4 linked regions of the Oryctolagus cuniculus genome follow. The protein of the gene in region 2 interacts with the protein of the main gene of each other region in a pairwise test. Links are inferred from orthologs where the notes say so. Each region holds a gene or a part of one and is shown on either strand. Other genes may lie near its edges.

What was found.
Region 1: the proteins of AKAP9 (region 2) and TNIK interact in a two-hybrid assay, tested with the Homo sapiens proteins (2 studies listed by BioGRID and IntAct). The link is inferred for Oryctolagus cuniculus from reciprocal best matches to the Homo sapiens genes AKAP9 and TNIK.
Region 3: the proteins of AKAP9 (region 2) and PKN1 interact in a two-hybrid assay, tested with the Homo sapiens proteins (2 studies listed by BioGRID). The link is inferred for Oryctolagus cuniculus from reciprocal best matches to the Homo sapiens genes AKAP9 and PKN1.
Region 4: the proteins of AKAP9 (region 2) and C7H1orf94 interact in binary tests that used the Homo sapiens proteins (3 or more experiments, as listed by UniProt). The two-hybrid records come from large-scale screens. The link is inferred for Oryctolagus cuniculus from reciprocal best matches to the Homo sapiens genes AKAP9 and C1orf94.

What each region holds. Positions count from the first base shown.
Region 1 is NC_091435.1:108,838,366-108,842,671, reverse strand, and holds the start of TNIK (TRAF2 and NCK-interacting protein kinase), read right to left. Parts: upstream 2,803-4,306; 5' UTR 2,400-2,802; coding exon 2,343-2,399; intron 1-2,342. UniProt on the Homo sapiens protein: Serine/threonine kinase that acts as an essential activator of the Wnt signaling pathway. Recruited to promoters of Wnt target genes and required to activate their expression. May act by phosphorylating TCF4/TCF7L2.
Region 2 is NC_091447.1:43,775,525-43,779,753, forward strand, and holds the start of AKAP9 (A-kinase anchor protein 9), read right to left. Parts: upstream 2,834-4,229; 5' UTR 2,748-2,833; coding exon 2,700-2,747; intron 1-2,699. UniProt on the Homo sapiens protein: Scaffolding protein that assembles several protein kinases and phosphatases on the centrosome and Golgi apparatus. Required to maintain the integrity of the Golgi apparatus. Required for microtubule nucleation at the cis-side of the Golgi apparatus.
Region 3 is NC_091447.1:63,099,936-63,103,512, reverse strand, and holds part of PKN1 (serine/threonine-protein kinase N1), read right to left. Parts: coding exon 3,529-3,577; intron 1,793-3,528; coding exon 1,657-1,792; intron 1,153-1,656; coding exon 1,007-1,152; intron 624-1,006; coding exon 410-623; intron 1-409. UniProt on the Homo sapiens protein: PKC-related serine/threonine-protein kinase involved in various processes such as regulation of the intermediate filaments of the actin cytoskeleton, cell migration, tumor cell invasion and transcription regulation.
Region 4 is NC_091438.1:138,451,133-138,455,223, forward strand, and holds the start of C7H1orf94 (uncharacterized protein C1orf94 homolog), read right to left. Parts: upstream 2,822-4,091; 5' UTR 2,019-2,821; coding exon 1,690-2,018; intron 1-1,689.

The sequences.
Region 1 (4,306 bases), on a different chromosome or scaffold from region 2:
ACTTCTGTCCATGAGCCCACCTCTCTCAATTTGGGAAGGCAGAGCTGATCTGCACTCTGATTTGTGGCGATGACCTCTGCAGCCTCTGGACCCAGTCTGGCCCGCACCCCTCAGCCACCCCAAGGCTGGCCAAAGACCCCCATCCTCTGGGGATGCAGCTGTCTCCACCTGTGCATTCACTTCCTGTGGCCAGCAGCTCCCCAGTCACTAGCCGGAGCTGCTCCCCTCCCTCTTTCCATACCTCCGGCAGGCAGAAAAACAGAAGCAGAGAGCACTAAGCTGGCTGTCCAGGCCACAAAGAGCAATTTCAGTAAATCATGCAAAATTCTCCTTTTCGAAGCCAAATTGCACCTGCACGGGTCTCCCCAGAGTATGAGGGGCCCTGCGAATCAGCCCCCGGGGGGAGCCCTCATAGTGGCTCCCACGCCCGCAGGCTCCGAGCTGGAGGGCTCAGGATCTCAGAAAACCTTCACTAGGAAACAAATCCGAACCCAACTTCAAATCCCAGCAGAGCATTTTCCATTAGGAGAGCAATGTCAAGATTTGGGCTCCCCAGCCTGGCCCATTGTTCAGATGCCTTTCTCCTTTGCGGCGGGCCCCTCCCAGGGTCTCCTCATTCATCCACCTGATTAACTCGCTGGCAGCAACTCCCAGTGCAGAAAGTAGGGCAAAGGAACAGAACACACAGTCCGCAAAGCAGGAAGCCACAGCCCGGGTCCAAGCACCCACCCGGTTCCCGGTCCCCACCCCCACAGCCCAAGGGGCAGAAAGCCCTGCCTGTGGCTTCTCAGCTCCAGAGAGGCAGCTGAGTGCACTAATGCATGCCCGAGCTGTGGCTGCCTAACTACCGCTACAGCCTGTTTCCAAGAGCATCCCCCTGAAACCTCACCTCAGGGACTCGGGGGACAGGAGGGGGGAGGGGAAGAGGTAGGGAAAGGGAGGGACAAGGAGACCAAAGTGCCACTTTGATCACAGAGGGAACTCAAAAATACCCGTGTTGGAAGAGGCCATGTCCGACGTACTAGGGATTCAGGTACCTGGCCGGAGATGTAGCATCCACCTAACAATGTGTTCCTCAGGAGGGCGTGTGAACTTGCACGCCTGACCCTATCTGGCCACGCAAGTACGTGCACTTGCTATTCTTCTCCAATTGTATTTTTGGTTCGCAAGACGAACAAACGGACCTTAAATGGGCGTCCAATCCTTCTCAGGCCCCCTCGATTGCCAGCAGCTTCCCACCCACCCCTCACCCCTCCCTGGCCCGCAGCATCTAATTAAAATGGCAAGAAGAAAGCTCTGCTCCCCTCCCCTCCCCCCCAGGAGTATGCTGAGATTGGGGGTTGGGGAGGGGGAGGCGTCGAGGCTGCCCTGGAACTGTGGTCTCCAAACAACAGCAAAATGGATTCTATATCGCCGATATCTCAGTCGACAGCATGCCACGGCGTCTGAGGTAATGCACGCGGAGGTTCAACGCCAAGCCGCGGGCTGCGGGAGGGAGGTGCTCCACAAAGGACCGGCCGCAGACGCGGGGAAAACACACACACTCCAGGGAGTTCCGGTCCGACTGCGAACAGCGGCAAACCCATCCCTTTCACCTGCCCAAGTTCAGCCATAAAGCTGACATGCCACAGCCACAAAGTCGGAAAGCACAGGCAGGGCTGGGTTAAAGCCATAAATAAAGGTGAGTGGCAGGCTGGCGTGGAAGGAGGCGCGGAGCCGGAGCCCGGGCGCGCCAGGCGGGGGCGGGGGGAAGGGGCGGCCGCTGCCATCTATGAGACCCGCATAGCAATAACTGCCCCCGTGGAGCAGCAGGCTCGGCCTCGCCGGGCCGGCCAGGCTCACGGTGTCATCTCGCAGGTAGCTGGCGAACGTGAGGGGCCAGCGCCTGTATGCGCGCTGCTCTAGTTTCTGCAGCAAGGGACAGTCGGGTCCCGCGCCCTGGCACGAGACGACCGCCCGGAGCGTGCACACACGCGCGCGCGCGCTCACACACGCACACACGCGCGCACACACACACACACAGAGGCTCGCGTTCTAATGCTCTTACACTGCTCTAAGATGAAACTGCCATAAGCTCCACAAGCAGTTTCGGGGGATCGTCGGCCACAGCCAACGGGGGGGACACGTTCCGCACAACCCTTGCCATAGAGGCTCAGCCCGGAGCGCCTCGGCAACCCCGAATCCAAGCGCGAATCCGGGGTCGGTCCCCGTCGCATTCTCCCGCAGCTGCCCGTCAGCCCCCAGACCACACACCGACCCCATTCTCCCCCACCCACCCACCCCAACCCCGCCCCCCGGACCCAAACCCCTGGGAAGAAATGCGAAAAACGCGTTCTGCTCACCCTCAGAGCCGAGAGATCGATTTCATCCAGGCTGCGAGCCGGGGAGTCGCTCGCCATGTCTACTTCTTCGCCCGAGAAATGGACCAAAGCCACCCCAAAGCTTCTCCCTTGGAAATTCCACCTTGGTCTGTTTCACTCGCGTCCTCCTGCGGGTGTCGAGCCAGAGGCCCCGGGCCCAGCCTCCCCCGCCCACCCCGGCCCCTCAGCGCCCGATCTCAAGCCTCCGTGCGCCGGTCCGCCGGGTCCGGGAGCCCAACCTGCGCGGATCTCCAAGCCCGGAGCCGCGGTGCGTGTGGGCTGCGCGCCCCGATCGGCTAAGGGCGCTGGAGCTGCGTGGGTGTATTTAAATGGGACATGCTTCTTTGCTTGTGCGTGGATGGCGGCTGCATTGGCTGTTATAATGAGACACATCAACTCCTCCACTCAGCTGGGGGGTGGGGGTGGAGAACCACACAGAACTGTCTATCACCGCTTCCTGGGAGGAGTAAAGGGGGGAGGCGGAGGAGGCGTGGTCTCCGACTGGGGAGAGGCCGCGCTTCCTGACCCGGTCCCTCGACACCAGCGTGGATGGGGGAGGGGCGCGCACCCTCCCGCCCAGGCTCCTGCGGGCTAATCGGGGCGGATCGGCGGGGCAGTCCCTGACCCTTGCCGGGCTTATCGCGGGGGCTCAAGCTCTTTTTTTGTGTGTCCAACTCGGGCATTGCAGCAAAATGGCTCTTTCCTCGCCTCTTGGGTTTTCTCGGTGGGATTCAAATGCTCTAGAGCTGGGGGGGCGCAGAAAGGGGAAAAGAAAAAGACAGCGACGCCCTCCCTCCCCCATTAATTATTTGTGGGGCTCGAGTAAGGCGGGCTGGTGCAACCGGTGCATATAAGGACTTGTGTGCAGGGAAGGGGATCCGCCTCCAGGCGTGGAACGAGCCCGGGAGAAGCGCGCACGCACGGCGCGTCCGGCCTGGCGCTTCTGTAATCTGCAGCGGCCCGGGGGTCGGGTCCACCCGCAGTAACCGATATGCCGGACTGCGCCGGTCCCAAGTTGCCGGTCCCTCTGCGGGAAAGCTAGGGAATCAGAGCTCCCTTTCGGATCGCCACACCCAGGACCAGCTCGTGCCGCAGTTCCCCACGAATCGGAACGTAGAAGCTCGTTCTCCGGGCGCAATAGCTTCCAAGCCATCAGGTAACTCCAAAGCCAATGCTGCTTAAGCCAAGCTCGCCGCCCGCGGCCACGGCGTTTCTCTTCCCGGCCGCGTTTCCGCGGGGATCCACCCCAGTGGATGGCGAAAGTTTGACCCGCGGATGAGATGCCAGATGGGCTGGCGAGCGCGCGTTCACCGCACCCACTTTCTCGTTCAGAGGTGGGATGTTTACGGTGGCGAACGTGACATTCTGTCATCGGGAGTGCCAAATCGCCTCCCTCGCCGCGCAGCCTTCCTCTCCGGCCCGAGCCACGGGAAATGCATCGCAAGAAATCGTTGAAAACTGACTTGCTTTCCCCCGCCCCCTTTAAGTACAGCAGAGGCGTCGCGAGCGTTCCTAGCCCCTCTGTTAAGGCAGGAATTCGCTTCTGGCCAAGTGCGCTGAGCCATTCTAAGTCATGTAGTGTGAATATGAGCCTCAGAATAAGGCGAATGAATGAATGAATGAATGAAAGCAAACCAGTGCAGCTAGTGCATCTCGCCTGCCTGCATGCATCAGAGGACTTTGAAACAACAGTCGGTGTACGCTTCACTGTGTGTGTTCATAATACTGTGCTGATGAAGTGCCTTGTGGATCATACACCCTGAAACCTGCAAATGGACTCAATATCGCAACGGTTTGGGTGCTTTGGCTTTTTAACGTTATACGTCAAACGTTTAAACCTGCTATATGACAAACATTTTACTTCTCATTTCCAATAAAATCTTCTAGTTCCATGCACTAAACGACAGTGCGCTAAGCCACCAACTGATGTCAAGATGACATAAAAA
Region 2 (4,229 bases):
GTCTTCCACATGCTGGTTCACTCCCCAGATGGCTGCCAACTACCAGAGCTGTGCCGATCTGAAGCCAGGAGCCAGGAGCTTCTTCCACGTCTCCCATGAAGGTGCAGGAGCTCAAGGACTTGGGCCAACTTCTTCTGCCTTCCCAGGCCATAGCAGAGAGCTGGATAGGAAGTGAAACAGCCAGGACCCAAACCTGTGCCCGTATGGGATGTCGTTAGGGCAGGCAGCGACTTTACCCACTATGCCACAGCGCTGGCCCCTATTGTTACTAAACTATAACCATACTAGTAAAGCTGCACCCATTAACAACTCATTAGTCATTCTGCTCTTCATTTATTTAGCATTCACTGATAGGTATCATTCTAGGGTACACTGTGATCTAACTTGAAAAAAGATTGTCACCACCTCTATATCTCCAGCCCCTGGCATAACATGGGAGTTCAAGATGGCTTGTGCTGAATGACTACATTTAGAACCCAATGTTTTGGGCCGGCGCCGTGGCTCACTAGGCTAATCCTCCACCTTGCGGCGCTGGCACACCGGGTTCTAGTCCCGGTCGGGGCACCGGATTCTGTCCCGGTTGACCCTCTTCCAGGCCAGTTCTCTGCTGTGGCCAGGGAGTGCAGTGGAGGATGGCCCAAGTGCTTGGGCCCTGCACCCCATGGGAGACCAGGATAAGTACCTGGCTCCTGCCTTCGGATAGGCGCAGTGCGCCGGCCGCAGCACGCCGGCTGTGGCGGCCATTGGAGGGTGAACCAACGGCAAAGGAAGACCTTTCTCTCCGTCTCTCTCTCACTGTCCACTCTGCCTGTCAAAAAAAAAAAAAAAAAAAAAAAAGAACCCAATGTTTTTCAGTCCTAACTAAAACACATGCTTATATAGAGAGGAAATAATTTATAGACTATTTTTGATGATGCCATTTTCATTCTATCTTCCATGCTGTTAGTCTTCATAACGTTAATGGCTGCATACTATTCCATTGCATTTATACATCTTAGAAAGCCAGTCTCTTCATATCATCTCTCAAGACTTATTTCGGTATTTTTATTGCAGAGCTAATGTGGCCCCAAACATATCCTGCCTTATACGTTTCACAGATTTCTCACTGGGAAAAGCAGGCTTAACTCCAGAAGAAGATAAACTTCTGAAATACAAGTTAACCTATTAACATTACTCCATTGGTAGAATTTTGAAACACACACACACACACACACCGCTAGAGCATACAGAACTCCATTTTGCCAAATCAACTACTTACAACTATTTAATTAAATCCTCTATCATGATATATGTCTGTCCAAAGTAAATCACCTTTCATGGGACTGCTTCACATGTTTTTAGGAAAGACATTTTTGGGGGCAAGCAGTAAAAATTCCCAAGCCAGACAGATTAGAACTTCAGTGCTTCTGGAAGCCAGCACACAGCTAACCTCCCTCAAGGGACACACGGGGTTTGTGTAATGTAAGCAATTTGGGGGCTCTGGAAGGTGCCCTGTTCCCCTTCCCTCCATGTACAGATTCTAAAAGTCCACCTGGCTACCTGTGAGCCTGGACCTCGGGCGGAGGGAGCTTCCTGCAAAGCCCACTGCATTGCTACGTTACACACGCAGGCAGACACACCTGGGATGAGCACTCTCCTGCTGCACCTCTGCAGGTGGCCCTTCCCGGAGGACTGCAGCCAGGGCCCCGGTTTCCTTTGTTTATGTGGGGGGAGGGGAGGGAAGGCGGAGAGGAGAAACAGTTAACTACACTACCATTTAACCGCAGTCCAAGTATGATTGCTGACAATTACCTCTACAGAGATTAGCAGATAACCTACAAAAGGTCATTTCGTTGTAAAGAAGAAGGGGTCCTTTGGGGCCAACCAGAAGACACGTCTAACACGCAATGTTTAAAAGAAATAGGTTATTCAAATGTATCTCGTGTCAAGTTTTTCATGAAGCCCAAGGAATGACACCTGTGTATGATTTTGTATTGTTTGCTTTACAGGCTTTTTCGTGCGCGCGCGCACACACACGAAACAGCGGCTCACCGGAGCTACACAGAGGACAACGACATTACTCAAAGCAGGAATTCTGTAGGTGTCACTTGGAACACAGAACCTCTGGGTTCCCAGAAGTTCCATGCAGACAGCCTCGGTGCCGCGACAAAGACCTCCGCAGACAGACATACAAAGGCACGCTTCTGTCAACGCCCCTGCAGCCAAGTTCACAGCTGGCACTTGTGGCACACTCGAGCCACTGCCGAGGCAGCTGTCACAGGCCAATCACACACGCCCCGGAGTGCCAGCGTGCCAGAGAGGCGGGCGAGCCGCCGGCCGCGCGCCAATCCCCCCCAAATAAAGGAGAAGCCCTGAATCTCCTCGCTGGGCAGCACAACGCCTGCACCGCCCAGAACACCCCCTGAAGAAAGTGAAAGGCTGAGATTCGGGAGCAATTAAACACCAGCTGACGGCAGCCCTGGGCATTTACGAGAAAGCAGCCACGCCGTTCACTCAGCACCCAAGTATCGGCGGCGAGGAGGGGGCGCCGGGCTTCGCCCCTACTGGAACAAGGGGCGAGGGGGAAACGCGGGGCCGCGGCACCTCGCTCCCCGCCAGCCAGCGCGCGCCGGCCGCCGCCAGCTCCGCTCCCAGGCCCCCTCCCACCCTGCCCAGCCGCCGCCTCCCTCCCCGGGCCCGGCTGCCTCCGCCTCTCCTACCTTCGCTTTGCCGGCCTCCAGCTTCTTCTGTCGCTCCTCGTCCTCCATGGCCTCTGCGGGAAGGCGGCGGAGCAGCGGGCGGGGTTTGGGGGAGACAGGAAAGGTCGGTTCAGGCGGAGGTGGGGCGGCGAGCTCCGCGGCCCAGCGAGCAGGCCCGGCGCGGCGCGGCCCCGCCCGGAGCGCGAGCAGCCTCCGCGCTCACTGGCGGCTCGTCCCGGGCCGCACGGCCAGCGCCGTCACCGCCGCCGCCATCTTCGTCTCCACGTAAACACTCGGCGGGCGTCGTGGGGGGGGGGGGACGTCGGTCCGCGCAGCCGCCGCGCCGGGCAGGTGCGCCGCGGCCCCGCCCCCGCCCGCGCCGTCCTCCCGCGGCCCGGCGGCTCCCGGCGGCTCCCGGCGGCGGCGGGGCTGAGGCGGGAGCGGTGTCCAGGGCCGCCCGCCCGCCGGCCAGCAGTGCCGCCACGGTGCGCGGGACTCGGCGCTCTTCAAACAGAGCGGTTTTTCCAATCACGAAGCCATCAGATATGAAGGACCTCTGAGCAGCCACAGTGGCCAGCAGGCGGGAGAGACTTGCCGGACCCCGGCTTTTCAACCTAGGTGGACTCCTCCACGCCAGAAACCGGGAGAGCGGCGACTGCGGCGGTGACTTCCCTGGCCTCGCAGTCCCGCCCCCTGGCCCACGCCGGTTCCCGCCCAGGCTGCCGGGTCCTCCGAGGCCCACCTCGCACGCCTCCGCCTGCACGCACACGGCTCCTGTCTTTGTTCGCCCCCCGCCCCCGGGAGGGCTCCTGCTGAACCTGCACTCCCATCCAGCCTCGCTGGGGCCTCTGGCAGCGGTGCTCTCGGGGACCCAGCCCGGGCGCACCACCTGACACGACACACGTTACCTGTCCTGGGATTGGGGAAGGGTGGTCATCTTTGTGACTGCCCCTGGCCTACCGAATCGCCCCGAATTAATGTCGGTTGCCGTTTTTCTCGAATTTCCTTGATGTCCTCTGCACGCGTTTTGTTGGCTTGCGTGCTTCTTAGGTCACCTGATATTCCTGGCTCCTTGGAGGCACGGACCCCCTCATGGATCCTGCTCACCGTGGCATTAATAAACGACTAGCACAGGGCTTTGCTCCGAATAAATACTGCTGGGTTGACTGGTCACGTCTATAAATTGATCATTACTCTTCCGTTTCTTCCACTCACCTGGCCCCGCAATCCTCCTCCTGCCCCCTTCACCACCCTCCCATTCGCCAACCCTCCGTTCCTAGAGTGAATACAAATGATCCTGTCTTAGGTTGAATACTGATGTTGAGTTCCCCTCTCCTTTGTTGAGTGAGGTTGGGCTGAGAAACTGTCAGGAGTGGAAACAAGCTGCGAGTTCAACGTATTGGTGATATTCAGTGAAACTTGGGGTTAAAAAAGGAAAAGGTGGGAGGGGGGTGCTCTGGCATACCAGGTTAAGCCCCCACCTGGCGCTGGTTCCAGTCCTAGCTGCTGCTCTTCTGTTCCAGTTCCCTGCTAAGGGCCTAGCAAAGCAGA
Region 3 (3,577 bases), about 19 Mb from region 2:
GCAGGCTCAGTGGGGGGGGGGGGGTGGCGCAGGTGGGGCAGGTTGGGGCGGGCACACCTAGAGGTTACCAGCGTGCCAGGGCGAGCAGATGGCGTGCAGGGCTTAAGCCAGGGATGGCAGTGCCCGGATGTAAGATATGGGACATGTGCTGGGGATCAGGGGCCAGGCTGGGATGGACCACAGAAACGAGGTGCAAGGCCCAGGCCCCGGTGAGCTCCGACAGGTTAGGACGGGGGAGTGCAGGGTCCCACTCGGGGTGGGGGCGGGGGCTGACGTGAGATCAGAGGTGGAAGGGGGTGTGGGGAGTCAGAGGAGAGGCTGGCCTGGGGGACTAGGGGAAGCGCGGTTGGGGGCCACCTGGGAACAGGGTAAGTCAGGCGGGTGGGGGCGCGGGGGCTGCGGGGCGCACCTGTGAGCGGCGCGGGCTTGCACAGGGTACTGTAGTGCGTGGCGGGGAAAGGTCCGGCCAGGAGCGCGCTGAAGGCGGCGGACGAGGCCGCGGCAAGCTCCTCCCGCACCAGCCGCCCCTTGGGGTGGTCAGCGGGCAGCTCCGCCAGCCTCCGCTCCAGGGCCTCCCGCAGCAGCCCCAGCTTCTGATTGGACTCCGTCAGCTTTTCCTGGGCCTGAGTGGTGGGAAGGAAGAGGCTGGGGTGGAGCCAGGCTTGCCCCGCCCCCTTCTGGACTTCCTTCTCCCTATTGGCCTAAACAGCCACTTGGGCCCCGCCCCTTGGTTACGCCCCCCTCCTCTAGCCTCCTCGCTTCCAGTGCGGAGGTCGACTCGGGACTAAGCCCCACCCACCCCCACTGAAGCTCCACCCCTTGATGAGGGACTGACCTATTGGGCTCCCTTCCTGCCTGAGGCCCCGCCCCTTACTGAAGCCCGCCCCTCTGGTGCCTATCAATGCAGAGGCTCCGCCTCTGGGCCCCGCCCGTTTCCCCAGCCTCACGGTTCCCATTGGCCCTCTTCAGCCGAGGCCCTGCCCCACGCCGCAGCCCCGCCCCTCACCTCGCTGACGGCCTTGCGGTCGGGCGTCTTGGCTGCACTGAGCAGGCGCAGCACGTTCTTGGCGCCCTCGGCCACCGCGTGCTCCACGCGGAAGTGGTGGCGCAGTTCCTCGATGCGCAGCTCCGCGGCCCCCAGGTCCGGACCCCCTGCAGAAGGGAAATGGGGCGGGGAGGGGCCCACACTGAGCTATCACCACCAGGCAGTCACCCCACAGCCAGGGACACCCCTGACCGCACTGTCAGACCCTGCCCCAGTCCACACGCGGGAGCCCGGTTCCCGGTGGGGCGGTCTACAAAGCCCTCATGGCTTCACACAGGAGCCATGCTGATGACAGCTTGCAGGCCTGGGGAGCCTTTTTCCGCCCCCTGGTGGCCGTATGAGGTATTTACAACATCGTTTGCTGGACCATGCAAAATGAGCAGCTTGAAAATCAGCTGTGGCACAGCGGGTAAAGCCGCTGCCTGCAAGGCCAGCATCCCATATGGGCGCCAGTTCGAGTCCCGGCTGCTCCACTTCCCATCCAGCTCCCTGCTATGGCCTGGGAAAGCAGTGCAAGACAGCCCAAGTGCTTGGGCCCCTACACCCGCATGGGAGACCCGGATGGAGCTCCCGGTACAGGTTCTCGAGTGGGCTGCCGGCGAGGCGCTCACCGTGGGCCTCATCCGCGGCCGCCTGGCTCCCCAGCTGGTCCGCCTGTAGGGCTCGGTGGAGCTGCATACGAATGATGTCAATCTTGGTCTTGCTGTCTTGTAGCACCTGCTGGGCCGTCAGCAGCAGCTTCCGGTCCTGGAGACAGGAGAGGAGGTAGCTGGGTAGCTGGGGTGGGGGGCAGGGCTGGGTGCTCTGAGCAGGGTGTACCTAGTGTAAGATGCAGCGCCCTAGAGGGCCATGAGGGCAAGACAGCACCCACGTCCGCGCGCGTTCCCAGCAGGGGCGGCACAGGGCACGCGCAGTGAAGCCAAGGGGTTTCGAGGGATCTGGGTCGTGGCTCTGCCACTTTAAGAGCTGTGCGACTGCGGACGGGACCTTCCACCCTCGCTGGGAGCCAGGACCTATTTGCTCAGAACCAGGGCTGGCACCGGGAGGGTCTGCGTTTGCAGTAACTCCGGGACAGTGCACGTGGGGGGGCCCCCACAGCCGCGCCCCGAAACGCCCCCACGTGGTGTCCACGGGAAATGTGCAGAATGGGCACTGGTGGTGGCCTGGGGCTGGGAAAGGAGCGCCTGGAGTGATGGATGAGGGGGCAGGGCTTCTCCCAAGCGGGGGTGGGGGCAGAATGTTCTAGAACTATTCACAGGTAATGGTTCTACAATACTGCGAATGGATCTAACACCACTGGGTTATATAATAGTAAAATGTATCTAGTTATTTGAAAGGCAGAGAGACAGAGAGACAGACAGAGAGAGAGAGAGAGAGAGAGAGAGAGAATCTTCCATGCACTGGTTCACCCCCTAAATGGCCACAATGGCCACAGCTACTCCAGGCCAAAGCCAGGAGCCTGAAGCTCCATCCAGGCCTCCCACGAGGGTCCTGGGACCCAAATCCTCAGGTCGTCACCTGCTTGCTCTCAGCAAGGAGCTGGATCAGAAGCAGAGCAGCCGGGACTTGAACCAGCACTGGACTCCGGCACTGCAGGCAGGGGTTTAACCCGCTGTCCCACTGTACAGGTCCCTGAATTATATATTTTAAAATGGCTAAAAATGGTAGATTTTATGTTATGGGTATTTTACTACCATAAGAAAAAAATTCAAGGCCAGCGCTGTGGCATAGGGGTTTAAAGCCCCGGTCTACAGCATCAGCATCCCATATGGATGCCGGTTCAAGTCCTGGCTGCTCCACTTCCAATCCAGCTCTCTGCTGTGGCTTGGGAAAGCAGTGAGAGATGGCCCAAGTCCTTGGGCCCCTGCACTTGCGTGGGAGACCGGGAGGAAGCTCCTGGCTCCTGGCTTCGCTCCGGCCATTGCAGCCATTTGGAGAGTGAACCAGCGGTTGGAAGACCTCTCTCACCTCTCTCTCTCTCTCTCTCTGCCTCTACTTCTGTCTGTGTGTGACTCTTTCAAATAAATAAAGAAATCTTAAAAAAATAAAAAAGAAAGAACTAGAAGAGAGAAGTTCAGAGGTCCCCAAGAAATAGACATGACAAACATTTATGGCGGTGCGGGTGGGTGTCAGGCCGGGCAAGGGTCTCCAGGTGTCCTTGGGGGGCAGGAGGCAGTGCCCGCCGTGGGGGCTGCGTGTTGCCGCGCACAGCCCGTGGCGTACCCCAGTGACAGGGGAGGGGGCCACGGCCTCTGCTGCTCCGGGGAGCTGCCTGTGCCCAGCCCTGCCGCCACACATCAGCAGGATCCCCTGCAAGCCCGACCCGCAGGCACCACTAGAGGGCGCCCCGTCCCCACCGCCCCAGCTTGGGACTTGCTCCTGGGGGTGTGGCATGCAGGCGGGTGCATCCAGGCGGGTGCACACGCGGGGGCTCTCACGCAGGCGTGCGTGTGCGTGCAGCTGGCGAGTGCGCGCCGGCCCACCTTGCTACTGCCGTTGCTGTACGTTTGGATCATGTTTTCCGCCCCTTGC
Region 4 (4,091 bases), on a different chromosome or scaffold from region 2:
GCACAGCATGCAAACCCCAGACAGAAGCCAACAGCGACTACAGAGCCAGAACCCCAGGAATGACACCTTGAGGGTAGTCTCATTTGTGTAATGCATCTTTCACTTCCCTGCTTACCATCACATTCCATTCTCGTGATCAGCTCTGAGGTGGACAAGGCAGGGCAAATCATCCTCAATTTGCAGATGAGGAAATCAAGGCCAAAGGGAGTTAAGCAACTGGCCAAAGGTGTGCCAGTTCAATTTGCAGCCAAGTGCAGGCTGGAAGTAGAGTCTGTCTCCATTAACTCAGAGTGACCTGGCAGAGAGGGTGCCATCTACTGGAAATTGCTACTGACCCTTGGTCCACAAAGTGGACAATCAGCTCTTTGGCCATGAGGACTGACCGTGGCCCCAAGGGACCCTGCCAAGGCCCGGTCCCAAAGCAGATGGCAATGGGCAGAGGAAAAGGGCTCTGTGCCTCCGAAGGGCCTGACAGCAAGGTTTTGGCTGTAGCCACACTATTCCTGTCTGAGCCATCCTGTGCTGAGCATAGGGAAGTGGAGGCAGGAACAGCCAAAGTGCCTTCTACCTTCATCTGCAGCAAGCAGAGAGGCCTGCAAAGCGACAGCAGAGAGTGCACACTTGGGTATCCCTCCATTGACTATGGCTTTCGTCCTCAGCTCTTGCTTAGACATCCCTGAAACCAGAGGCGGCTGATAAATGCCTGAGTATTCTCCCACTTCAGAGCAATCTCTGAACTGAACGTGAGCATGTGTTGGAGCAGGCAACACTTAATTATCACTTAGTATTTAATTAGCACTTAATTATTAACACTTAATCCATCTGTAAAATGGGGACACTAATACCTGCCTCATAGGAACTCTGGGAGGATTAATTAATGTTTGCAGCACACTTTGAAGATGCAAAGCATTGAAGAAGTGCTTGACAGTGACATTAATAACCACAGCAGATTTACTTCCTTTCCCTAATGAGGTCTCTTCCTCCTGTCTGCTTCTCCTGCTCCTCGTGAATATCCATGCCCAACAATCTCTGCCCAACGTTGCCCTGGTAGAGAAACACTTAGCTCTGTGTCTCCCAGGCACAGGATTCCCCATCCAGAAAGCTGGCTATTTACAGCCATCTTCCCGCACTTTAATTTTCTATTATGTCCTCTGAATATGTCAATGCCTTCCCAGTAAATATTTTGATATGCGCTCTTGCAGCAGCCTCTGTGTAGGCTGAATGGGACAGCTGCTCCCTGTATTAGGGAATTCCAGATGTGGCTTGAAACCACCAGGCTCATCTGTGCAAATGCCTGGCCTTTGCATGGGAAGGGGAAGCTTCTTCAAGTTGCCTCTGGGGAAGGACATGAATCACCTAACCCTTGGCCTTTGCTGTGATGGAGGGGCTTTCAAGGACCCCAGAGCCACATCTGGGTTGCCTGCACCTTCAGGATGAGAAATGTACCCCTTGGAGGGCCAATGAAGGGGAGCCTGGAAGGCAGCTCTGGCCTGGCCTTTCAACCAGGTGATTTCAGCACCTTGGTCAGCTCTTTCTCCAGCTTGCCAATGAAGGGCGCACGGTGGAGAGAATGTCTGCAGAATGCAGGGTTTAACCAGACCGAACACGGCCCGAACAGTCCCCTAGAAGTTCAGACTGCACTGGACCTTGCCACAGCCCTTGCTGCCCACCAAGCGAGGGGATACTCACTCGTCTATGAAGCTGAGCCTGTGGTCCCTTGGCATTCCTGCCCCGGTGGCAGAGAGCTGCTCTGTGGAGGTTCTGGACTGCAAGTCCTCGGGCAGGCCCTGAACTCTCTTCCAGATTTCATGGCAAGCCTTATCCAGGCTGTCTTGGGGCGTGTCCTGGTGGATCCAGATGTATCGGGGGAATGGGCCCAGGGCCGAGGGGCGCTTGGCCACCAGGGCCAAGGACGAAGGCAGCCCGTTTCCACTGGCCATCTTCCTCCTCTCTCTCCAGAAGCCCCTTTGTCCACCCAGGGCTCGGAGACAGGGGGACCGTGCACCCCCACCTCTCATTCACCAGTGAGGAGGTGGAGGGCGGGGCCTGGCAGAAGCTGCTCAGTCCGGTCCAGCTGCTGCTCCAGGGAAGGGCCTGGGCTTAGAGGCCTCTGGCTTGCGTGTGGGCAGTGGGTTGGGGGCTGCTCTCTTTGGGGGAGGAGGAGCTTGTTTCGATTCGTTCTTATTTGCTCTCGCCTGACCTTTGTCCCCCTCCCCGTATCCCTTAGAAGAAAATATTTAAAAGTCAACAAAAACCAGTAGCTTAGTAACCGTGGAATCCCCCGGAGCTCAGCAACCAGGCGCCTGGGCGGGCAGAATGACATCTGGGAACCGCTGGAGGGGGAGGCTGGCTCTCCCCAGAGACCTGGCAGTCACCCCTTGGTACACCCCGCGACGCCCTGGCCCGGCTCAGCCCATTCTCGCCCTCCTAGCTGCGTGGACGACAGAGTAGGGGCCTGGCACCTCGCAAGGCGCTGCGGGCAGCGGCTAGCCCGCGGGGCTCTGGGCTAGGGTGTTCCTGGGAGCCCCGCTCAGGCCAGGCTAACGTCCAGCCTAGGCTCCGCTCCGCCCGCTCCGGTTCCCCTGGCCAGCAGGGTCAGGGGCCGCACCCGCCGGCCTAGCGTCGCAGCAAGACACCTGCCGCGCCCGTGCTGGGTTGTGGGGCCACCCCCAGGGGAGAGTCTCAACCGCGAGAAGGGCGTGGTCTGGGCAGGGCCGGGCAGGCTGGCCGCCTGGGCCAATGTGCGAGTCGGTGGCTCCCACACCCTTGCCGTCGAGCGCTGGAGTTCTTTCCGGGAGTTCAAACGCAACGGCTCGGTGCGCGGGGCTCCTGGCTTGGCGCCCAAGGCCCTCCGCGATGCAGGTGCGGGTGCGGGTGCGGGTGCGGATGCGGGTGGGGGTGGGGTGGGCGTGCACCGCAAACCCCGGGCGCTGTCGCCGCTCAGGAGGCGGAGCCGGCAGCCCGGCTGCCGGGCTCTGCAGGGCTCGCATGCCTTGGCGGGCCTGCCCCATCTCTGCCTGGCTTTGGCCAGCACAGCACGGATCCTCCAGACCCTGCGCTGGGCTCAGTAGGTCCCAGGCCTGGTTGGGGGTGGGGTGGGAGATACAGAAAGGGTCAAGGTAGGCTATTGGCCAATTCATAGAATCCTGCCCTCCCTGGAGCGGCTTTCTTAAACCTGGGACTGACGCGGCACCTTTGGCCCCAGGAATTCAAGGTGGTGACTGGAGGGCTCCCCTGGAAAGGAAGCACAAGAGGCAGAGGAAGAAGACGGAAGGGAAGCCAGGAAAACAGCAGCCTAGAGAAGGGGGACTCGGGTAATGGTTGCCACTGCTGTGTGACCTCAACCACCCCTTCCTTCTCTCCGCCTCTTCCCTCCCTCCCCCTAGGAGGAATGGAGCCCTTCCTGTGTGCCAAGGGAGCTGCTGGACACAGAGGGAGCGTCGGGATGATCCTCCTGGACACGGTCCCTGCTCCTGTGGAGGCCTCAGTTCTGCTGGGGGGAGCTGATCGCAAACCCCCCCCCCCCAGAGCACGTGAAGGAGCGATAATTACAGAGAGGGCGAGGGCTCAGGTGGAAAATAACAACAGGAGGAGGTGGTCCAGGAAGGTCTGTTCGTGGAGGTGACATTTGAGAAGTGGAAGGATGAGAGGGAATCTTTTCTGTAAAACATTCCTGGCACACAGTAAGCACTCAATAAAGGTGTTGGATGAATTAATGATGTACTGTATGTAAAGTGCCTGGCATACAGTAGGTGCCAAATATACAACCTTGCTCTTTACAGAAGTTCCTGGAAATGTTGACTCTAAATTTTGAAATCTGAGCTTCATTCCCTTTTGATTTTCATTATAAAATTGAAGATGTGTTCCTTTGGGGAAAATTCCAAGGACCCAGACTGAATAAAATTATAGTTAAGAATGTAGAAAACCTTTTAAGATAGTGTATTTAAAGGGAAAGTGATCATTTGTGATGAAATATTAATACTTCCGAAAATGTCACTCAGTGTTTGTGCTGCTTGGCATTTGGTTGGCTAACACCTCTGTGTAGAGCAGACTGCCGGGGACCTGGTACTGCCCAGGCCATGGGGTTCCAG